Linked DNA regions of Lytechinus pictus. The protein of the gene in region 3 interacts with the protein of the main gene of each other region in a biochemical or structural test. Links are inferred from orthologs where the notes say so. Each region holds a gene or a part of one and is shown on either strand. Other genes may lie near its edges.

Region 1 (7,106 bases), on a different chromosome or scaffold from region 3:
GTAATATGTACATGTATTTCAGAGGATTGAACACAGACATTCAAGCTTCTTGTGAAATATCATGAGAAAAAAAATTGCACTGACTTGAAGATAAAGGGGGAAGGGAAATACAAGAGGGAAAAGAATACAAAATATACATGAGATTCTGATTTCACCATTGATCCCTAAACTTTGATAATAAGTCATTGTTTTTGTTATTTCAATGTTGTTATTTTCCCTATAAAGAGATCTACATCAAAGACCTTACTTTAGCTTCTTACCAATCTTTTCTCCATTCACAAAGGTGCCATTTGAGCTCCTATCTTCAATAAAGTAGAAACTGCAATTATCGTTTGATTCCTGGAAAACACAAGAAGAATTATTAATGCAACTTTTGATATCAGGACTGCCATAATGAAAATGTTTTGTTTTACAATTTTAAACTGAAACTTTTTTTTTTCAAATGAACTTTTAACATCCTGTGTGATGGTATCTGAATGACTGAATCTATAATAACAATTGATAGTCAGTTTATTTCATGTTGAATGAAAATACCTTCTAAAAACATTGTGGACATTTAGCTGAGAAGAAATATTTTCATAAATTAATTATGTGTTACTTAGTCCATACTAAAATGGAAGAGCACCATGACATTGAGCATTTACAAGTTTAGTTGATAAATCCCATTCCCATGACATTACCCAATCATAACAATGAAGAATGATTTTTTTTAGGTATAAGCCTACTGCCTACATCTTGTAACTCCAGTAGATGACAGGCATTGAGGGTGGTCACCTACATTGTATTTCCTCACCTTAAATATCCTGAAATGTGTTTTGCTAAGTGTCTGGTAGCAGGGATTTCTGCTTATCTCGGGGCTGTTGTAACAGATGTCACAAGAAGGATCCCTTCCAAAGAGGTATTCTTCCTTTGGATCTAAGAAATCTACAATTTTCATTTAAAAAAGAGAGAATAAAATGAACAAAATGAAATATGGTTGCAGTCTTGCAGATTCAATTTATTGTCCTTTTACTGTACCATGGCCTGGATATTCAGTAAATATTATGTACAAAAGATGAAGGCGCGTTTGATGCTGATAGAAATGATAGCAACTCAACACCTATCACCAATAAATAATAATACACCTCCACCTACAACTCATAAAACTTTTCTTAATCACATCTGTTGTGGATAGCTTAATTACCACTTGAGAGTCATACAGATCATACTATAAAATAGAACTTAAATATGGGGAAGTTCACCCTGGTGAGTTTTTTTTTCAATAAGCAGATAAATATTAGTAAACATGCGACTAAAATCCACAAAGAATAAGAGTTGTGACTTTTTTTTTTGGGGGGGGGGAGGCCATGATGTGGCCAATACAAATTCAATAAATTGCAATTTTCAAGGATTCATGCCTACTGAAAAAAAATATTGAAATTTGTCTAATATACTATAATACTGAATATTCAGTTATAACTATTCTGGTTTCTAATTATTCTATTTATTCTATGAAAGTCTAATCATATCAGAATCATTTGTTGATCATCAACAAAGCGTTTAAAAAGGATTGAAAACCTTGCTTCTTAAAAAAAGCTTCAACTGAAAATACTATTGAATTTCAAATGTTCATTAGCCATTACTTAGAATAAGTAAAAATTGATGTTTTCGATTTGTCCATCAGCACCTAGCACAGTAGATGCATGTGTGAACAATTTGTTAGAGTTAAGCCAACTGTTTCAAATCGAGTTTGGATCAGATCATTCAGATGTGTACAACACAGCGAAAAGCTGAGCCTGAGGTGACTCGGCTCTGCCTATTTCATTCATTTTTCAACAAATATAAAAATCTTTAAAGTATTTAAACTACCACTTCAGGGTGCTACATAACTTTTTAGAAGCACTTTCCCAGTCGGGCAAGTAAATTTTTAAATAGTTGGAATATACTTGCCCAAAAATGTATTTCACTTGCCCCAAAAAATCCTTGAAAAAAAGTTTTACCTCTTCAAATGAAAGCATTGTGGATTTATAAACCATTGAACTTCTAACTGATGTAGACCTTTCCAAAGTGATTTTATCTTACCTGCTACATGTGACCAAAATTAGGGTCGATATCATATAAAAAATGTGGACCCTAATTTTCCACTGTGAGAAATTGGCTTTCCCAGTTTGGGCAAGTAGTTTTGGTCTTAACTTCAAAACACTTGCCCGACTCTAACTTTTACTTGCCCCGGGCAATAGGGCAAGTACAGATTTTTGCTGACACTGTTTGTAAGTGTTTAGAACTTAGTTTAGTGACTGATCTCTTGATTTTATAGCCTAACTTACGATGAAAGTATGGTATTGTATTTGTAGGGGCTAGTGACAATGACCTGCACAACTAGTATTAAATTATTACTAGTACTACATGTATATTGCCTTTATTCATTGGCAATACAAGTAAATTCTAATATTTAGGATTAGAGGGTTTATATTAGTATTAGAACTAGAAGTCAGACCTACCAACACTCTTAAAACATTTTCCAATAGGATACAGACGACCCCAAACAACCACCTTCTCCTCCACAAAATCAAAATCTCCTTCAGCAACCTCCTGCGTTGGAATAGTCTCCATACTCGACAAAGTTCCCCCGGATGACAGACTTGCACTCGCACTGCTCGATGTGGTGTTGGGCTCTACGGAACTCGAGCTCGAGCCGTTCAAGCTCATGTCGCACACACATGCAGTAGTAAACACGGGAACGCCGGGCCGAGTGCGCTACGTAAGTGCTCAGCGGAAACTCGAGGCTAACCTCCGCCACTCTGACCCGGCAGATGTACCGTGACGTAGGTATCCAATCCGGCGGCACGAAATACTGCGGCGCGAGATTCAGGAACACTGCCACTGGACTATTTCCTTGTTGAGTCCATCTTTGAATTAGCTCATTGGGTAAGAAGATGACATCAACAATCCAATAGTTTCTGCAAATTCAATGAACTTCAAAACAACTTCTTTCGTTTGATTTTGAATTCTGCAAGCAAAATCCAAGTAATTGTCAGTTCTTTGGGGTAAAAATCCAAAACACACCGTATCGCAGGCCTAGTTCTAATCAGCTGACAAACCACGTGGCGATCGCGCGTTTGCGGTCAACGACCTTAGGGTATATGTATCCGGATGATATGCGGATCCAGGATTTCGATCAGCTAGGGGATTCCCAATTATTGATCATGATCATTGACCCCGGGGGCCTCATTGACAGGCGGTACGTCCAGAGAAAAGATAAAAGTCATGGCATTTCCCAGAATATCGATTCGATTTTGTCATATCTCTGAGCAGACGCAGATCCAGGGGCACGTGCCCCCTATGCCCACCCCCCCCCCCTTTTTGAGAAGCAAAATTAGAATTTGTAATGTAAAAATGCCCCCTCTTTTGAAATAGAAGACCTTTTTTTTTTTTTTGCTTGTCAAAATTTTTCGGGTTCTAAACATCCTTAATTTGTGGTTGAAAACCTTTATTTTTTTTTTGGGGGGGGGGGGCTTGTCAAAATTTTCCTTCGAAAAATTTGCCCCCCCCCCTTTGGAAAATCCTGGATCCGCCCCTGTCTCTGGATGTTAGAAAAATAAAGGAGCTAAGACAGTGTTCAGAAATATACTGCTTCCCTAAGATTTCAGAAAGGTGGCCCAGGGGCAAGAGAGTTTACGAACTTCGGGGCGCGGCTGCGGGAGACGTTTCCACCCACATTTTTGGTCTGACAACTTTATTTCATTCTGATTGGCGGAGAAGCACATGCAGTTCCTTTCTGTAGGAAAGCATAGGCCTACTTTGTCGTATTCCGATGGTCATTTCATAAACGACAACCCCCCCCCCCCCCCCCCCTCTGCTGTAGCTTTCACCTACAACAAAGACATTGGGAAACATTTTGTATATACAAAAATATATTTAACCTCTGCCTTTTCCTTTTTAATAATATTTTTGTACATTTTTTAACCTCTACGGCCCTGCAATTTTTATCTCTGCCCCAGTCCCCCCCCCCCGTGTTCCCTCTGCTGTACGGATCCACATGCATGCGTCATGAAACCTAACACTAAAACCATGAAGGATATGGAAAAACATGTATAATAAGGCCTTCATGGTAGCCTACACTTATATGCCTATATGTAAAGGTCTATGAGTGTAGGTTCTCAGGGACTTTTTTTTAGAAGGGGCGTTGGGGTGTTGGGGGTCAATGGCATATGAGCCAAACAAATTTGAGGGTCCATAAATGGCATGTGGAGCAAAATAAATTTCTAAAAAAGCAGCAAGTGAGCAAAATTTTAGAACTTTTTTACACAAATATCTAATTTTGTGATGGATTTCGACATAATGCTAAAAAATATTATTATATTCCACCCCCTTTCCTTTTTTTTTTCTTGGCTGTGAAACTTGTGGGGGAGGTTCCATGGTCCCTTAAGCCCCCCCTCCTTACATCAGTTGGGTAGGGTAGTCCTTGAGACTGAAGTCTTATAAGTACAAGCTATATCTTTATTTTCACAAGAAGAATAGGTAATTCATAAGAACTATTTAATCAGTAATACGAGCGTGAAGCACGAGATGAAATTTTTAATAATAATAATATTAGGCATTTATATACGCCATCAATCTAGAAATAATCTATTCCGAGCCGCATTGTTTAATATTATTATTACCCCCACTTTATTTTAGCTCGAGCTGCCTTTCAGCGCTAATTGCATTCAAGAAATTAATCCTATATACCGGATACCCATTCACCTCACCTGGGTTGAGTGCAGCACAATGGGGAAAATTGTTTTGGAAAAATAGAAAACTAAACAAATTTTGATGGAAAATAAGAAAGAAAAACTGATGGTTATCATGCATTTTCATATCACTACCATCATGGGCGGAAATCCCAGAGGAGACAGGGGAAGCCCCCACCCCCCCCCCCCACTTTATGATATGTTTTATGCCGGAAAAATACTTCATTCAAAAACGAAATAATACATGTATCCTTGAATCTTTAATATAATATCATTTTCTGAATATTATGTCAAAATCTATAACAAAATTAGATTTTTGTTATAAAACTATTGAAATTTTTGCTCGCTCGCCTAGCTCTCTTGCAACTTTTATAAATTTTACCCAATATGTGCCATATCTAGCCCCCAAAAAGCACTCCTCTTGAAAAAAAACATATTATGATCATCGATCATCTTCAACTTCCTCCTTATCATCATAATCATACTTGCCATATAATCAGTATGATATTATTCTGTAAATTATCGCGGGATAATACAGACCACCCCTTTTATTATATACATATTTTTATTTGATAGCATTTATTCCATTCATCATAAAAACCAGAACAAAACAAGGTACATGCAAAGTTAACATATATTACAATTTATGTCAATGAAATAATTCAATGATACAAATCTGGAAAACATTTGAAAAAAAGAGTATATATAAATGAATGGGGAGGCAACTAGAAAGGCAAAGCCTTATTAGTGCTGCCACCTTTACAAAACTGGAAACTGAATATGTAATGTAATAAAAATGTTAATACTGAATACCAGATATAAACATTGAGCATAAAAAGGGGGAAATACAAATTTTGACACAATGACAAAATATATAGACATAGATGTATATCAACAATAATTACTATAAAAACGAAAGAAGAAAAAACACCTGAATATACGTTATTAGAATATTTGCTTAGAAGTTGGGTTTTATATCTCCTTTTAAAAACATTAAATGATGGACTAGGTTTAACAGAAAATTGTAATTATTCCAGATAATTGGTTCTTTGCTAAAGAAGTGCTTTTTTTAGTTAGGTGGAAGTCTGAAGATCCTTGCGTATTATAATAATGAACATCTATGACCCAGTAGCCACTGATCTGTATCTAGTCTATATAGTGTAAAGATTAGTGGATCAAACTGGAATTCTATGTAAAACTGAGGCAAATTTTCATGTCGGTCATAACTGAAAGATACCATACCGAAAACTTGAATAACAATGCACAAAAGAAAATGATTGGGACTACATAACAAGCTCGCTGTAGCCTTCCGAAGACGCGACCGAAAGACCGAAGAAGACAATGGAAGTGTAAGTATTTGTTAGGGAATATGATAACAAACATCTCATTTTGTTATGCTGTATGCACGAAAGGTGATTTTTATTCTACTTATTTAGTCAAATTTATTTGGCGTGTTTGGAAAAGCAGAGTCGGACGTCGGTGACGTGCATGTGTGACTGTGGCCATGGTGCCGTGGTTGTGTCTGTGAGTGAGTGTGAGTGAGTGAGTCTCACTTGCACTTGTCTTACCCCTTTCATAAACCCAATCATGCGGCTAATAGCAGCATAATTTGGTTGTAAAATCGGAGGAGGACCAGAGTTATCCGCTTCATTTTGATGCTGCAATTATCCGCATAATAGCGGCATCGGGACCAGATTTTGACTTTATGAACGCATGTCCAAAGTACAATTACATGACATACCGTTGGCGTTATAGATTATACGGATAATTGCCATGCCCATGGCATGATGGTGCGGTCACAACTCACAAGGTCACCCTTTTCCAACACAACTGCATCGGAGGGGGTGTGTGCGGTTGCCATGACGATTATCCCCCTTTTTCAGGACGGGCGCTCGTAAAAATAGTGCGGATTATTTTCGGAGTTTGTGAACGCAATTTTTATTGAATTATCCGCATTACTCTTAGCCTTAGGCTTAGGCGGCTAATTAGAGGATGGGTTTATGAATATGAAAGGGGTATCAGACTCAGATCAGTGAGTCTGACTGATGTGACGTTAACCCGGTCCCGGGGAGCTACGGCCCGCTTCACGGGCCGGAGCCCTGGGGGCCGTTTCATCAAGCTGTTCGGAAGTTAAGAGCGACTTTAAGAATGACTGGTGAACCTTTCTTACGCGCTTAACCATCACCAATGAATATACCATTTTCCACAAGAAAGGATCACCAGTCGTTCTTTTAAAGTCGCTCTTATTGTCTTAACTTAACTTATGAACAGCTTTATGGAACACAGTGACACACCCGGACTCGTCCATGTAATTAGCCAGGAGGCTCTAAGTCCTAGAGGAGTAGAGAGCTAAAATCATTTACTAACGTATGCTTACTCTCCAAGGAGCCAGGG
Region 2 (7,175 bases), on a different chromosome or scaffold from region 3:
TTATTATTCATTATAATGTTATATTATCTTATAATTATGTTATGTTATTTTACATTAAAATTTAAAAAAATCCTAACTTTATGAAACATAATTTGCTCAGGGCTTATGTATTCATTGTTCCTGATGCTCGCGTTGTCTGTTTAACGAGATATATAATCCCGTTATACTAAAACCTCCCGTTTTCAAGTCAGTATACACCAAATAATATTTGTATTGTTTTATGTAGTGACAAATATGCTTCTTTTTCATGACTACTTAAAGTGATTGCCCCATTTTAAGGTCTAACTATAAAACATTTCCTGTCCGTGTTTGCGTTCGCATTAGTAGATTAGTGAGATATGTCTGCTCTTCATGAATTCCTAAAATCAGTCCTTAAAATGTCCCTTTTTCTGATCTGAATATCAAAAATTTTCAGCTATCGCTTGCATATTTTGGTAAGTGAAATACGCATGGTCTTGAATTCCTACAAACAAGCCTTAAAATGCTCCTCTTCAGGTCTGAATTTCCTAAATTTTCAGCTCGCGCTTTACGCTCGCAATATATGACAAGTGAGATGCGTATAATAATCATGATTACAATGACTACAAAAAGTGTTTCTCATGTGTTTAGATGTAATTCTAAGAAATCAGCATGCGCTTGGCATTCGCATTAGATGACTATGGTGAGATAAGTGTTCTCTTCATGGATTCCTTTAAAAAATAGTCCTTAAAATATCGCTGTTTGGGGTCAATATATACAAAAAAAAATTAAGCTCGCACTTCGCGCTCTTATCATTTGGTTAGTGAAATACGCATAGTATTCGTGAATTCCTACTAACAAGCCTTTAAAATGTCCCTCTTCAGGTCTGAATTTCCTAGATTTTCAGCTCGCCCTTCGCGCTCGCAATATTTGGTCAGTAAGATGCGTATGTTAATCATGATTACAATGCCTACAAGTGCTTCATGTGTTTAGATGTATAAAATTCTAACAAAATCAGATAAAATGGCACTCGTATTAGATGACTATGGTCAGATATGTATACTCTTAATGGATTCTTAAAATATAGTCCTTAAAATGTCCCTCTTTGGGGTCAATATATACAAAACTTTCAGCCCTCACTTCGCGCTCGCATTGTTTGTTTAGCGAGACAGGTATACGTATCATGATTACAAAAATGTATTTATAATGTCCCTTTAAAGGTCTGAATATAAAAAAATTTCAGCTCGCGCTTCGCGCTCGCATTATGTGATCAGTGAAATATATATCCATTTAATGGCACTGTCTTTAGAATTTCTCTATTAGGTCAGTATACCTGACAACTGAGCGCGCTTCGCGCACTCAATAAGTGACTAAAAACATTTTTGGTACCCCCCATGCCGTGACCCACGGTACGCCACTGTTTCATACGTTCTCCATCGAGCATCCGTCCACTGTGATTTCATTGTCCATTGTCTGGAGCGGATGTAAACGGATGGAGCCACCTCGAAATTGGCTTGTCCGCTGTATCCGTTAGCCTATGGATACGTTTTGTGTCCGTCGGCAAGTGGGACCAGACCTTTAGATGACTATGTAAGCTAGCTCTTCATTCATTTCTAAAGAATAGTCCTTAAAAGGTCCTTGTTTGGGGTCAATATATGTAAAATTTCAGCTCGCGCTTCGCACTCACATTGTTTATTTAGTGAGACAGATATACATATGATTACATAAATCGGCTATTATAATGTCCCTTTCTTAGGTCCGAATATATAAAAAAAAAATCAGCTCGCGCTTCGCTCGCCTCAGTGAGATACAAATCATTTTAATTGCACAGTCCTTAAAACGTCTCTATGAGGTCATATAGCTGGCTGTTGAACGCGCTCAGCGCGCCCACTAAGTGCCCAAAAAATCCAGGGGGCTGTTTCATAAAGCTGTTCGTAAGTTAAGAGTGACCGTAAGAACGACTGGTGAACCTTTCTTACGTGCTAAACCATCGCCAATGAATATGCAATTTGCCACTAGAAAGGATCACCAATCGTTCTTAAAGTCGCTCTTAACTTACGAACAGCTTTATGAAACACCCACCAGGTCCCCCATAGGCCCCATGCCGTGACCCAATGTTATGAAACAGGGCACTAGACAATATAATTATCCATTAACGTATGAGCCTGGAACGGAAATCTGAGGGAGAGGGGGCAAATCTTTTCCCCAGGACACCATTGAAGGTCAAGTCCACCCAATAAAACTGTTGATTAGAAATGATAGAGAAAAGTTAAACAAGCATAATGCTTAAAATTTCATCAAAATCGGATCTAAAATAAGAAAGTTATTATATTTTTAAGTTTCGCTTATTTTTCATAAAATAGTTATATGCACAACTCAGTGATATGCACATGAGAGAGTTGGTGATGTCCCTCACTCACTATTTCTTTTGTTTTTATTGTTTGAAATACAATATTTCAATTTTTACAGATTTGTCAACAATTAAGGACCAACCTGACTTAATCATAAACTGTTGAAATAATTGTCATCACACATGGTCAGGGAGGAATAAGATTTGTTTCACATGCAATGAGGAGAAAATAAGAATTTTTATATTTCATGTGATAAAATACAAAAGAGGTAGTGAGTGGGTGACATCATCGGTCTGCTCATTAGCATACCGACCATGATGTGCATATAATTGTTTTGCGAAATTAAGAGAAATTTTAATATGTCATATTCTTATCTTACATCCGATTTTGATTTTTTTTTAATCGATGTTATAAGCTTGTATGATATTTCTCCTTTTATTCAAGTCACCTTTTTATTGGGGTGGACTTGTCTTTAAGCAAAAATATCACCACCTGCACAAACAACAAAGTGCTATAAAACGCCAACTTTGAGAATAAAAAAAAAATGTATCAATAGAGATCCACTCTCCTTCGCATATTGACTAAGATGAACATCTTTCTGTTATGAATATCATAATGAAGTGGAATGGATTGGTTAGCGAGAGAACAATTAAGCAAAGGAATTATTTTGTTTTTTATCAAACTATTTTATACAACATTCTCTCTTTTCATTATCTTCCTCTTCTTTCTCATTTTATACCTTCTCGTTTTCTTGCCCCTCTCTTCTTTCGCTTTTTTTTCTCCCGTGTCATTTGGAATTGGAGTTCCATACCTCTTCCTTTTCTTTTTTTCTTTCACTTCCTTTCCTCTTCTTTCTTTCTATTTTCCTCTCCTTTTCTTTCCTTTCCTCCCTTTTTGTCTTCCTCTCCCTTTTATCCTTTCCATTTTCCTATTCATTCTTCTCCCCTTTAATTTCCCATTCCGTTTCCTCTTTTTCTTTCTTTCTTTCTTTCTTTCTTTCTTTCTTTCTTTCTTTCTTTCTTTCTTTCTTTCTTTCTTTCTTTCTTTCTTTCTTTCTTTCTTTCTTTCTTTCTTTCTTTCTTTCTTTCTTTCTTTCTTTCTTTCTTTCTTTCTTTCTTTCTTTCTTTCTTTCTTTCTTTCTTTCTTTCTTTCTTTCTTTCTTTCTTTGCTTCCTTCCTTCCTTCCTTCCTTCCTACCTTCCTTCCTTCCTTCCTTCCTTCCTACCTTCCTACCTTCCTTCCTTCCTTCCTTTCTTTCTTTCTTTGCTTCCTCTTTTTCATTTCCTTCACTAACTTTCGGTGGTCTTGTAGATTTCCCCGCTGAAATATTTTTGGGCCGGGGGTTGAGGGACCCGCCCCTGCCCAAATGTTTGGCACAGATGGTGTTTGAAAATATATGACAATATATTGGGCATGATGGTAGATGAAATATTATTATAGAATAACTTGATGTAAAATTTTAATGTTCAGTACGAAGAAAAAATGGAAATATAGATGATCAATAGAGGAATGAATACAATTTTTTTTTATTCACGATAAATCATGATTTTCCTCACCCGTAGCCATGGGGTGGCAATAATGATTAATATCGATAATTTCATTAAAGCAAGAAACAAAAATAAAGATGATCACATTCACATATGCATTAATATAAAGCACATGTATGTTCATTTTATAATGAATATGTCAATGGCGTAATACGCCCGCGCAGTGGGTTAATTTTATTATTAAAATTATTATTACTTTTCATTTTTTTTTTCCAATTCTATTTGTGTGGTTAACTTCTCCTTCGTTGCGCATGTTCGACGAAATTTAAAGTCGAAGTCTGAGTCTGACTGAAAGTCAAAGTTCGTAAGTGGGGTTAAATTTTATATTGTGCAAGAACATTTTGTTATATTTAACTTTTGCAGTCATATATATTAACGATGGTCTAATCTTCCAGCTTGAGTACACTACCGCTATTATTACCACTCTGTTTCTCATCGTTCTGGCCGGGCGTTTTGGGCTTCTGTCTGGCCACGGCTACGGCTGCCTCGGTAACCCAGGCCGCTCCGGCCCGCGAAGCGGGGCGGAGCCCGAGATCAGGGGCCTGTTGCATGAAAGGGTCTTTCGTAGAACCATTCTACGTAAGAACGAGATATCGCTCAACTGTTTCACAAAGCCGATTTGGGCGATACGAAGAATGGTCCTTGGAAAGACACCTCCAGACATGTCCTACGTAGGCATGATCTTCTTTGCACACCGCCCGCCACCGTCGGCATTGAGAGAAAATGCATTTACGCCAAAATTACGGCAAGCCACACTGACATATCACCTCTAAACATTTTTTTTGGTTGCACTCTGATGCATTTTATCTGGGATGGTGCCAAGTTATGTTTTATATGGGGGCTATAGTTGTCATCAATTTCAGGTCGTCTTTTTGCACGGCAGGACGACCAAAAACGGATGTCATTTTAACTTCTCCGGCCGGGGTATGGTAGGGGGTCCTAAAGCTGCGCGGGTCCTAAAGCTACGCAGCACTCATCGCGCATGCAGTTTTTATGGCAAATGCCCGGCGGCGCGGGGCAAATGCGCACTCTGTGTGTGGAACTGTGACTGCAGAGTGACGAACGATTCCTATTCAATTTTTTCTTCAGAGGCTGCACTGCAGTAAAATCTCTAAATGCAGAGAAACCAACAACTGTTTGGAATTTTGGAGTTATATTCGCTTAAATTTCATTTTATCCTATAATAATATGAATGTATTTTAGAAATTGAGGCACAAGAAATACTATTTTTTTGCATGATAAATCGAGTGCGTAGCTTTAGGACCCCTTCTACATCGGGTGGCGAAATCAAGAGGTGTTCGGAAAACTCGGCGGGATTTTCGTATTAGTGAGTTTTGCGATATTTTCTTCTTGGTTAATGATCTTTAGAATGTTTGCCACAAATTAGTGAAAGATATTTGTTGAAATACTAAAATTGGGGTAGTTTTTATTGTTTGAAAACAAAGTGCGTAGCTTTAGGTCCCCCCATCATACATGTATTATTCCCGGGGGTAATGTATAGGGCCAAATATTTTTAAAAATAATATGTTTTCTTCTATTCTCCCTCCGTCTTATCCCCACCCCTTTTCTATTAAAAAAATAAACTTGAAATACTTGAAATGGGCGGCACTATATCTCTTTAGCCGACCCCAGTCATGCTTTCTCATTAAAGATAAACAACAAATTTCTTTAAAAGAAATTATGTAAGGTAAAAAACGTGTTCAATAACATTCAGCAAAAAAAAACCAAGACAAACAAAACTAAGATGTTAAACATGCTAAATCATTTATTTATTTTATTTTATTTTCATTATAATTATTTTTTTTTGCTGAGATTTATTTTAATCAATGAAAATTAATTGTTGGATTTGAAACAGTGAAACAAAACAAAAAACCTGCAGCTAATATTGAATTTAAGATACAGATTAAGCCTATAGCTTACGAATCCATCACAATCATTACAAATGAAGATAAGTTCATTAAAGAAAAGATTATGGAAAGTCCATACGAAGAGGCGCATTTTAAATCTTTTATGTTATTTCTTAAACCTTCCATAAATTAAGTGATCATCTTTAAATATGACCAGCGTTTATGATCGTTGTCATATTTAGCATTATTTCTGTAAAAGTATTTGTCCATTGCGGATTGATTCACACCTTTTTCTATGTTTTAATTATTATTGCAAAGTACTACTTTATCCACTTGGACATGTTTGCAGCAATTTTCATATTTTCATTTTCTTCTGTTACTCATCATGCAACTGAGGTATGTTTATACTCTAAATACTCACATTTGTATTTCTTGCGTTATATCTGACAAATAAAATAAATAAATTAGATTTTTCACACGCAGCCTCTCATATTTTCCTTTTTAGTCTCATACAATCAGACACTGTTGATTTTGTTTACTCCATTCAAACCCTATATTTACCTCAACAAATAACATATTAACGCATAATTTGCAAAATTATCATTATATACAAGTATTCTATAAAAATACAGAATATTGAACTCATAAATGTCGAAATTACTTAGTTAAATCAATTTTTATGTCGGACAAGGCCCAAGGGTCTCTTTCGTTGAAATATCAATAAAAGGTGTCTCTAAAAAGACACCGTGTTCTAAATAAGGGAAATAATGAAAATTTCGATTTTATTTAGTTATGTTTGTGAATCTTTAAAGTTTTTTCTCTTTTAACCTCATAAAGTAAGCTCCATACATCAATTCTACTATCAGTAATAAATAAAACATTATTTGATCTCCTTTTATTGAAATATCGGATTTTATGTAAAGTCGTCATTCAGAAATAAAAGGTTCAGGTGACGATGAAGACTAAATATTTTCCCGATACTATCGATATCAAACGATGTCGCGGACTTGGAAGACAAAATTGCCTTCGTGAAACGGAAAGCGCTGATTTGTCGCCAATCTTCCTATCTCGGAAGAATGGTCCTAGGACGTTCCTACGTATCGCTCATCTCGTCATGCAACAGGCCCCTGGACTCGTCCGTGTAATTAGGCAGCGCGTACTCTCCAAAATGGGGTAGAATGGGGTCGTAATAGCACCCCAAATAAAAAATGAAAAAACAAATTATGCACTTACTTCGATTGTATGTATTTGACTTTGGCAACATTTGAGAGGTATTTTACAGTGTGAGTGTCATTATAAAAATAATTAATGATGATGACAAGCAAGCAAGTCCAGTTTTTTGAGAAGTTCGTTATTTCTGTCTTTTTTCTGGACCGGCACCTTCACTGTCATTGTCAAGGAGCTAAAGTAAAGGGCCTGGATTTGGTCAAGAATTGCAGGGCTAACTGTTGGAGAGAGTATTTTGTAAATTAT
Region 3 (7,849 bases):
TCATATCGGCTTTGGAGAAAAATGTGTAATTGCTGAGAAATGAGCAAAATTCCATAAAATGTCGGGCATTTTTCCAAGTGATATTAGTACACTGTCTGACATTGTTATGCCTTTTTGTGTGTGTTATCAAGCAGAATTATCGGTTTTCAGCTAAGATTTCATGGTTTCACAAAGACGAGTTGATTTCATTATACTAGATCTATGATAATATGGGGGTTAGTAATAGTAACCTTTTATTTTAAAGGCTTTCTCTTGAAATAGTTTTTGCTGCAATTAGTTTCTTTTACTTTTAAAAAGAAGTTTTGTTTGAGCATGAAAATAGATGTTTTCTATTTTCTTATTTGGCCTTGATACATGTATATAGAAGATTAAACAAATGATTTTCAAGAATTTCAATTTAAACCACTGAATACATTTAGCAAACCTTGGGTTGTGGACTTATTAATATTGATATTAATTGAATTTCCCTTAGACAGCGCCTCATCAAACAAATGCAGTTGGGGTCAGGGAGAGTGGGAGAGACAAAGGGAGAGAGGGTAGAGAAAGAATGGGAGCTGGAGAGAGGGGGGATAGGAAAGGGAAGGAAAAGAAAAGGGATGGGGTAAACAATTCCTGTTTCACCTGCTTCGACAACCTGCTTCCTGTTTCGTTTTTATTTATTTGATTTGATTTATTGATTTCCATTTCACAATTGTACATAATATGATAAACATAACAAGGTCGAAAATACTACAAGACAATATAATAACATAATCATAGATTAAAGGAACACAATTCAGTAAATAAAGTTATCTCAGATGACATTTGTGTTTAAAAGTAAAACGGAGGGTCTTGCCAAAAAAAGCAAAGCTAGTACAAAAGGCAAGCCCCTAACTTAGTTTCATTACAAAATTACAATAAAGAAATATTGGGTCGTAATAATATACAGAAATTTTCTTTAAAAATAAATACAATTTTTGTGCACTTTACATAAACGCAACTGATGGATCGTGTGAGAAAATATATTGTTTTACAATACTAGAGAGGGGGGATGAGGGGGAGAAGACAGGAAAGACAGAGGAGTGCAGTGTACACTAAGTAGAAAGAAAGAAGGCAGGCAGCAGGAGCAGGTACTTTCACTAATTGCAATTTTAAGAAGAAAAAAAATAAAACAAATAATATACATGTCTATATGAGCGCATATAATACACAAAAGCCGAGTATAATTGAAATAGTTATTCAGCTTGACCTGTTTGCAACGAGTATTCCAGAATTAACTTTTTTTTCAGTTTGCATTTAAAAATATTTACATTAGGGGATTCTTTGAAATCTTGCGGCAGAGAGTTCCAATTAGGCAGGCCCGGAGAAGGGGAGAAGACAAATGAATTCTTTGCTAAAGGAAAGTGATAATATTGTCGTTGCCTTGTTGGGTAGCAGTGTACGGATGCATTTTCACGGAACATAGAGAAAATCGCGGGGAGATCGTCCTTGTTTCATTTGAACATAAATTGACTAAGTTCGAAAATATATATGTCACTTACTTTGAGAATGTTATTTTCAAAAAATAAGATATCAGTATGTGATTTAAAGTGTGTTTGAAAAATTATTCTTAGAGCTTTTTTCTGGAGAAGTAATATTCTATTTAGTTGTGTTTGTATTGCACATCCCCAGGCAATTATTCCATAATTAATATATGGTAGAATAAGGGTGTAGTATAATGTTAAGTGCGGGAAGGGAGAACATGTTTGAGTTTATCAATAATTCCAATGTTTCTAGAAATTGTTTTACCTATATACTATCAATATGAGGCTTCCATGATAATTTGTTGTCAATAAGGACACCCAAGAATCTGGTAGTGGAAATATTATTAAGAACGATATCAAAGAAAATACTGTCTGGTAGAGTATTGATTTTTATTGATTTTATTACTGAAAAGCATGCAGTTTGTCTTCTGGTGATTAAGTGAAAGTTTGTTGGCCTTGATCCAATCTGTAACATTTGTTAGTTCAAAATTTACGATTCTAACGAGTTGGTTAATATCATCATGGGAAAAGAAAATATTGGAGTCGTCAGCAAAAAGTATAAACCGTTTAAACAATCATGTTTAATTTATTGAAGATTAGATATTGAAAATTAAACTTTGTTGCTTAAGATTTAAACACTTGTTTAAACTGTTTAAACAATTACTGTAAGCTTCATATAGTAAACAGCGTTGTGCAATTTTTTTTTACTGTGTACGCCAGGATATTATTACCTTGGTTTTAGCCCCGCAGCCTTTTACAGCGCGATGGCATTTCAAGGAATAAATTTTTGCAAGGTACGTACCCATTTACATCACCTCGGTTGAGTGTAGCACAATGTGGATAAATTACTTGCCAAAGGAAATTACGCCATGGCTGGGATTCAAACGCACGACCCTCTGTTTCAAAGTCAGAATACGTTAATCCACATAAATATAGAGTGTATACAAGACATTTGTATTTACTGAATATAATACATTTGTACACTGTACATAAACAACACTGAAAAATGAGTGGATGCTTATGATGAAAGTCAAACATTGTAACCTGGCGCTTATAAACTATAATGTATGTATATATCATATGAAAGAAAAGTATAGTCTCTGTTTTCCATCGAGTTGCAAATTTTTGATTAATGATTATAATTCATAAAGTGTGATAATGCATATTTTTATACCTATTTGTGAACATTGAAGCGTAACTCACAATGCTTCAATGATCATGACCTATTTCTTATTTTTTCTGAGAGATGAGATGACATGCTTTCATTTCATATGAAATTCAAATCCTTTTCACCCGTTTTATTAATTTTGACAGGAAATGAAATATTAAAAATGAATCTGATTACACCCCTGTACAAAAGTCAATGGGACAACAGCAGACAGGGATCAATTCGTTTTATATCGTTTATGAAATCTGAAATATCGACTGGAATATTAAGAACTGTATATCAAATGGGATCAAATGAAAGCATATCATCTCATCTCTCGGAGGAAAAAAGGAAAAGGAAATATACCATGATCAATGAAGTGTTGCGTGCTATGCTTTAATAATCACAGCAAAGTCTAAAAATATACATTGTTGCATATTCATAATCATTCATGCATGACTGATCACTATTTTAAAGTAGTTGCAAAACAAAGGCCATACTTTCTTTTCCATTTTTATATTCATTTTGACAGGAAATGAAATTTGAAAAATTAATCTAATTACACCCATTTACAAAAGTCAATGAGGCAACAGCAGTTAGACATCAATTAATTAAATCGTTTACGAAATCTGTAAAACCGACTTAAATATAAAAAATTGTATACCAATTAAATGAAAGCATCTAATCTTTTGAAAAATAGGAAACTTCATAAAGCTTGCTCATACCCCAAGCATGCCCCAGCGACCATTTAAACTCAGGGGCCGCGGAACGGTTTTCAAAGTGGGGGGGGGGGGGGGCTGATGATGCAAAAAATACAATTGTGTGGTAATTTTTACGTTATTGTACACGTTTTTTTTTTTTAAGTGGGGGTTGAAGCCATCCAGCCCCCCCCCCCCCCCCCCCCCGTTTCTGCGTTCCCTGCGTTCTATTCAAAGTTCTCCTTCTCACCTACAAAACTCTCAATGGCCAATCCCCAAAATATCTTACAGATCTCATTTCCTTATACGCTCTAGTACCTCCTCAAGACCTCTCCGTTCATCGTCTACAATGCAGTTAACTCCTGGACCACGAACCTCTACAAAGTATGGTGACCGCGCTTTTTCTTCAATTGCCCCTTCCCTTTGGAATAAGCTCCAATTTTTTTAATGCCAAATCTGTGAATCAGTTTAAAACCCTACTCAAAACCTACCTGTTTAATAAATGATTCACAGTTGTGGGTCGGTCAATTGGAGGTGCACACCAGTTTTGATTTTTGATTATTAGTATAGTTGTATTAGCTGTGTCATTTTCCCCTGCCACATTTTTTTTTTATACCCAAGTACAAACCACAAACAGAACACAATGCACTTAGAAACACCAGTAGTAGGCGCCAAAATGTTGTGTATTATTATCATTATTATTCCGCGGCCCCTGAAACTAGCTAAAAAGAAGGGCGGGTGGGGGATCTTAGGTTCATTAGGTCTCAAAAATTAAAACTATGATCCAGAAAACTATAGTCTCGCATGAAACCTTTTCTATATGAAGCTGGATATTTTTTGTTTTGAAAATCGTTTTCAGATTAACTCAAAAGTGTAAACATTTTTTAGTGAAATTTTTCAGGAATTTATATTCTTGCAATGTGATATTGGAATTCATATTTTTCTTGAGACTAGCAGGGAACATAAAATTTGGTTCTTTAAAAAGAATATTGATTGTTATTAAAAATTCCTTTAGAATTCATTATCAAGCCAAATTGTGCACTATAACTTTTTTTCAGCTTATTTTAGAAATGTCCAAAGTTCGTAGACATTGATGGATCGGGGCGGGGGGGGGGGGGGCATTTCCGGCCCGCGTGCCCCCTGTGGTGCCCCCCTTGAGAGTTATAGTCATAATTTTTATAGTAAATATGTATTTTATACACAAGTGCGTCCCCCTCCCCCGCTTTTAGAGCCACATCCGAATATTTTTATTGGGAATTTGTCATTTTTTTAATTGGAATATTAAAACCTATTTATTTTTTTATTTATTTTATTTTGCTGTCAAATTATACGCGGGACAAATCGGTCTTCATTTTTTTAGAAAACTTTTTATTGGTCAAATTTTCCTTAGGGAAAATGTGCCCCCAACCTTTTGGGAAAATCTTGGATCTGCGCGCCCCCGACCGGTCTCGAGTTACATTTTTTTTTAATTTTTACTTTTGGACGTTTTAATTCGGCGACACTGTATTGTCGCAAGATTCAACGTAAAGAGCGGTAAAAATGCAAGAAGAAGTTTGGGATTTTCAGAGAGAAAAAGTGTAAGAATACGAAGTTTTACAAATCGCTTTGAATTGATGATAAAAGAGAAAATGATAGATAAGTAGATAGAATTTAGAAGAATAGGTGACACGGAGATTGGAAAATCTAATAATCTTATCCTAGTTTTGCGGTGCCTTTTTTGGTAGTCCCATCTTGTCAAATTCATGTCCAGTTTAACACAACAGAGAGAGAGAGAGAGAGAGCGCCCACGGGCACGGCCCACTCAGTCAAGGTTAGATTTACATGCCGCCGCATAGCTGTACTTATATTTTTCAACAAATTTGACCAGCAAGTCAATGATGTGAATGCCTACTTGCTCTTGTTATGAATCAATTTATACAAATAGATCTACAGGTCATACAGCACGGACATTTCTAAAAACGAAAAAAGTAAACTGGTTACTAATAGTCCTACAATTTTACAAACACTGACAAAACAAAAGAAAAAAGTCAAAATACAGACATCTTGATATTCTTTTTCCTTTTCCTACTCCTAGTCCTAGACCTCTATCTAACATGTCTAACGTTATAAACTAGGCTTATTGAAGAGTTGGGGATCACAGTTATCAGGGTAGGAAATACAATAATATAATTTCTTTCCCAACATTGTGGGGATTGCTAATTTAAACTTAAGTTAAAGCCTAAAGGAGCATTTTCTTTCATTTTAAGAGTTACATTTTTGTGCAACAAGTATTAGTAGTTATGCTGTGAAAGCATTTCTCATTACTCTGCTGTATGTAGAAAATCGGTTCTAAACTTCTTGAAAGTCCATCTTGAATGTTTGTGGTATATCTTTGATGGATATCTTTGAGGATGGTTGCCCCAAAGCCACTCACACGTATTGCGAGGTTAGGGAGGCAGTGTAGCTCAGTCGGTTAGAGCGCCTGTTCCGGAAAAGATCGTAGATCTCAACGTGCGTGGGTTCGAGTCCCGCAGCATGCCGGAAGACGTCTAACAAAAAAAACTGATGCTAGCGTTGTGTGTTAACGTGCCTCACCGCTGTGTTCAGTGCGGGTGTGAATGCAGTTGGAAAACACTCCGTCCATCGGAAAGGACGCAAATGTTGGTCCCGTGTATAGGAGAGTCACAACCTATGCACGTTAAAACCAATACACTATTCGTCAAAGAGTAGGGTGTTCACCCGGTGTATTGCACCTGCCGGTCCCCGGTACTACAATACTGCAAGAATCTTCAGGATTGAAGGAGGCAGTGTAGCTTGAAGAAGTGAAGAAGAAGTATTAGTATACTAACCTCGCACCACGAACCGCGTTTGGCAGTGGATTTCTAACTAGTGGGTCGCGCGTGCTGGGATCTCACTTCATGGGTCCACAACACACGACTTCTATGGCTTGATTTTTCTGTGCGTGGCGGCATGTAATGAACCCTTGGGTGCCCCAAAGCATTCAATTTGGGGGATTTTAGGGGCAACTTGGGATGTCATGAGGGCAAAATCTCACATCGCCCTCATGCATTTCCTACGCTGACAGGTACATGTATGGTTTCCATCATCAGGTATTTAAGATAAAAAAGAATTATTATTTTAAACTTTGTCCCTCTTGTTTCAGATAATGTGAAGAAAGATGGCTAGTTCTGTGCAACAGGATGGAGTGGCTCATCCTGTTCTAGAAGATTTGAAGAAAGAAATCAGCCAACTCGGTAGCATGCAAGTGTAAGTTTATGCTAACATTGATGTCACCAAGCACATTGTAATGATGGTAGGAATAGTCACACGAGGTTTTTCCACAAGTAGTTAGGGGAACAAAAACGAGTTAAGTTTTAGACATTATCAATATCAGGACATTTTCTTTGTGTGAAAATACATCCCTGTAGTGACAACACTGGTAAATGGGACTCAAAATCTCAGAGTCTACCATATTTTCCGGTGTATAAACAACACCTTTTTTCCCGCTTTTAATCTTGAAAAATTGGGTGCGGTTTATCCAAAGAAACAACAAAATTTCATAAGTAAAATGTTTCTTCGGTAGTTAGAGTTAGCAAGAAACCAAGAATTATATACAATATTTAATGTATAATTATTTGTTGGTTACTAAGATTGGAGAGTATATTTTGCGAAGTTTTCTTTGAAAAATCTTCTTTGTAAAGGTTGTTTTATATTATTTATTTAATTACTATCAATTTGATAATGTTTTCCTAAGAAAAACCTGATTGTTTTGTGATAAAAACTTTTTTTTCAGCTAAAAATGCATGGAAAATGCTCTTCAGTAGGCATGTAATCATAATCGATCGTAATCGTAATCGGTTATTTAAAAAGGCAATAAATAATGTCCTTCATTCTTTCTCTCAATATTTTAAAAAATATCCCTTTTTATACCATAATTTTGATATTAAAAAATGCCATTTTATGGTCTCCTTTTCCTTAAAAAAACCCTGGTTGTTTTGTAATGAAAACTTGTAATCGTAATCGGTTAGAAAGCAGGCAATAAATAATGTCCTCTATTCTTCATTTTTTCCCTCAGTTTCTCTCAACATTTTTTGTTCTTTTTCCCTTTTAATCTATAAGTTTGATATACAATACTGCTATTTCATGGTCTTTTTTTCTTTATTCTACAAAGAAATAATTTACATTCTTTGAAAAATAAAGTTAAAGAATGGAGTAACCATTTTTTAAAATACAAAAATTATTAAGATATCTTTTGATCTTTCATAGATTTATATTGAAATTGGCTAACCCAAAATAAAAAAATAAAAAATTTAAAAAATCGGCAAACCAAATTTGATATTATTTTGAAAATAATATCAAATTTGGTTTGCCGATTTTTAAAATTTGTTATTTTTTTAGTAATATCAAATTTGGTTTGCCGATTTTTTAAATTTGTTATTTTTTTAGTCTCTCGATTTTGGGGGTGCGGTTAATACACGGCTGCGGTTTATATTCCGAAAAGTATGGTAGTCATCAATTTCTCA

Evidence for each region.
Region 1: of the proteins of serine/threonine-protein kinase ATR-like (region 3) and serine/threonine-protein kinase Chk2-like, one has a biochemical effect on the other in vitro, tested with the Homo sapiens proteins (2 studies listed by BioGRID). The link is inferred for Lytechinus pictus from reciprocal best matches to the Homo sapiens genes ATR and CHEK2.
Region 2: of the proteins of serine/threonine-protein kinase ATR-like (region 3) and serine-protein kinase ATM-like, one has a biochemical effect on the other in vitro, tested with the Homo sapiens proteins (2 studies listed by BioGRID, with this or other methods). The link is inferred for Lytechinus pictus from reciprocal best matches to the Homo sapiens genes ATR and ATM.

The regions. Positions count from the first base shown.
Region 1 is NC_087246.1:31,249,629-31,256,734, forward strand, and holds the start of serine/threonine-protein kinase Chk2-like, read right to left. Parts: upstream 3,075-7,106; 5' UTR 2,689-3,074; coding exon 2,481-2,688; intron 925-2,480; coding exon 794-924; intron 340-793; coding exon 261-339; intron 1-260. Other genes in the region: DNA-directed RNA polymerase III subunit RPC9-like, read left to right, coding at 6,054-6,061. UniProt on the Homo sapiens protein: Serine/threonine-protein kinase which is required for checkpoint-mediated cell cycle arrest, activation of DNA repair and apoptosis in response to the presence of DNA double-strand breaks.
Region 2 is NC_087248.1:3,339,711-3,346,885, reverse strand, and holds the start of serine-protein kinase ATM-like, read left to right. Parts: upstream 1-4,098; 5' UTR 4,099-4,159; intron 4,160-7,175.
Region 3 is NW_026974140.1:6,100,067-6,107,915, forward strand, and holds the start of serine/threonine-protein kinase ATR-like, read left to right. Parts: upstream 1-4,838; 5' UTR 4,839-4,924; intron 4,925-6,489; 5' UTR 6,490-6,504; coding exon 6,505-6,593; intron 6,594-7,849. UniProt on the Homo sapiens protein: Serine/threonine protein kinase which activates checkpoint signaling upon genotoxic stresses such as ionizing radiation (IR), ultraviolet light (UV), or DNA replication stalling, thereby acting as a DNA damage sensor.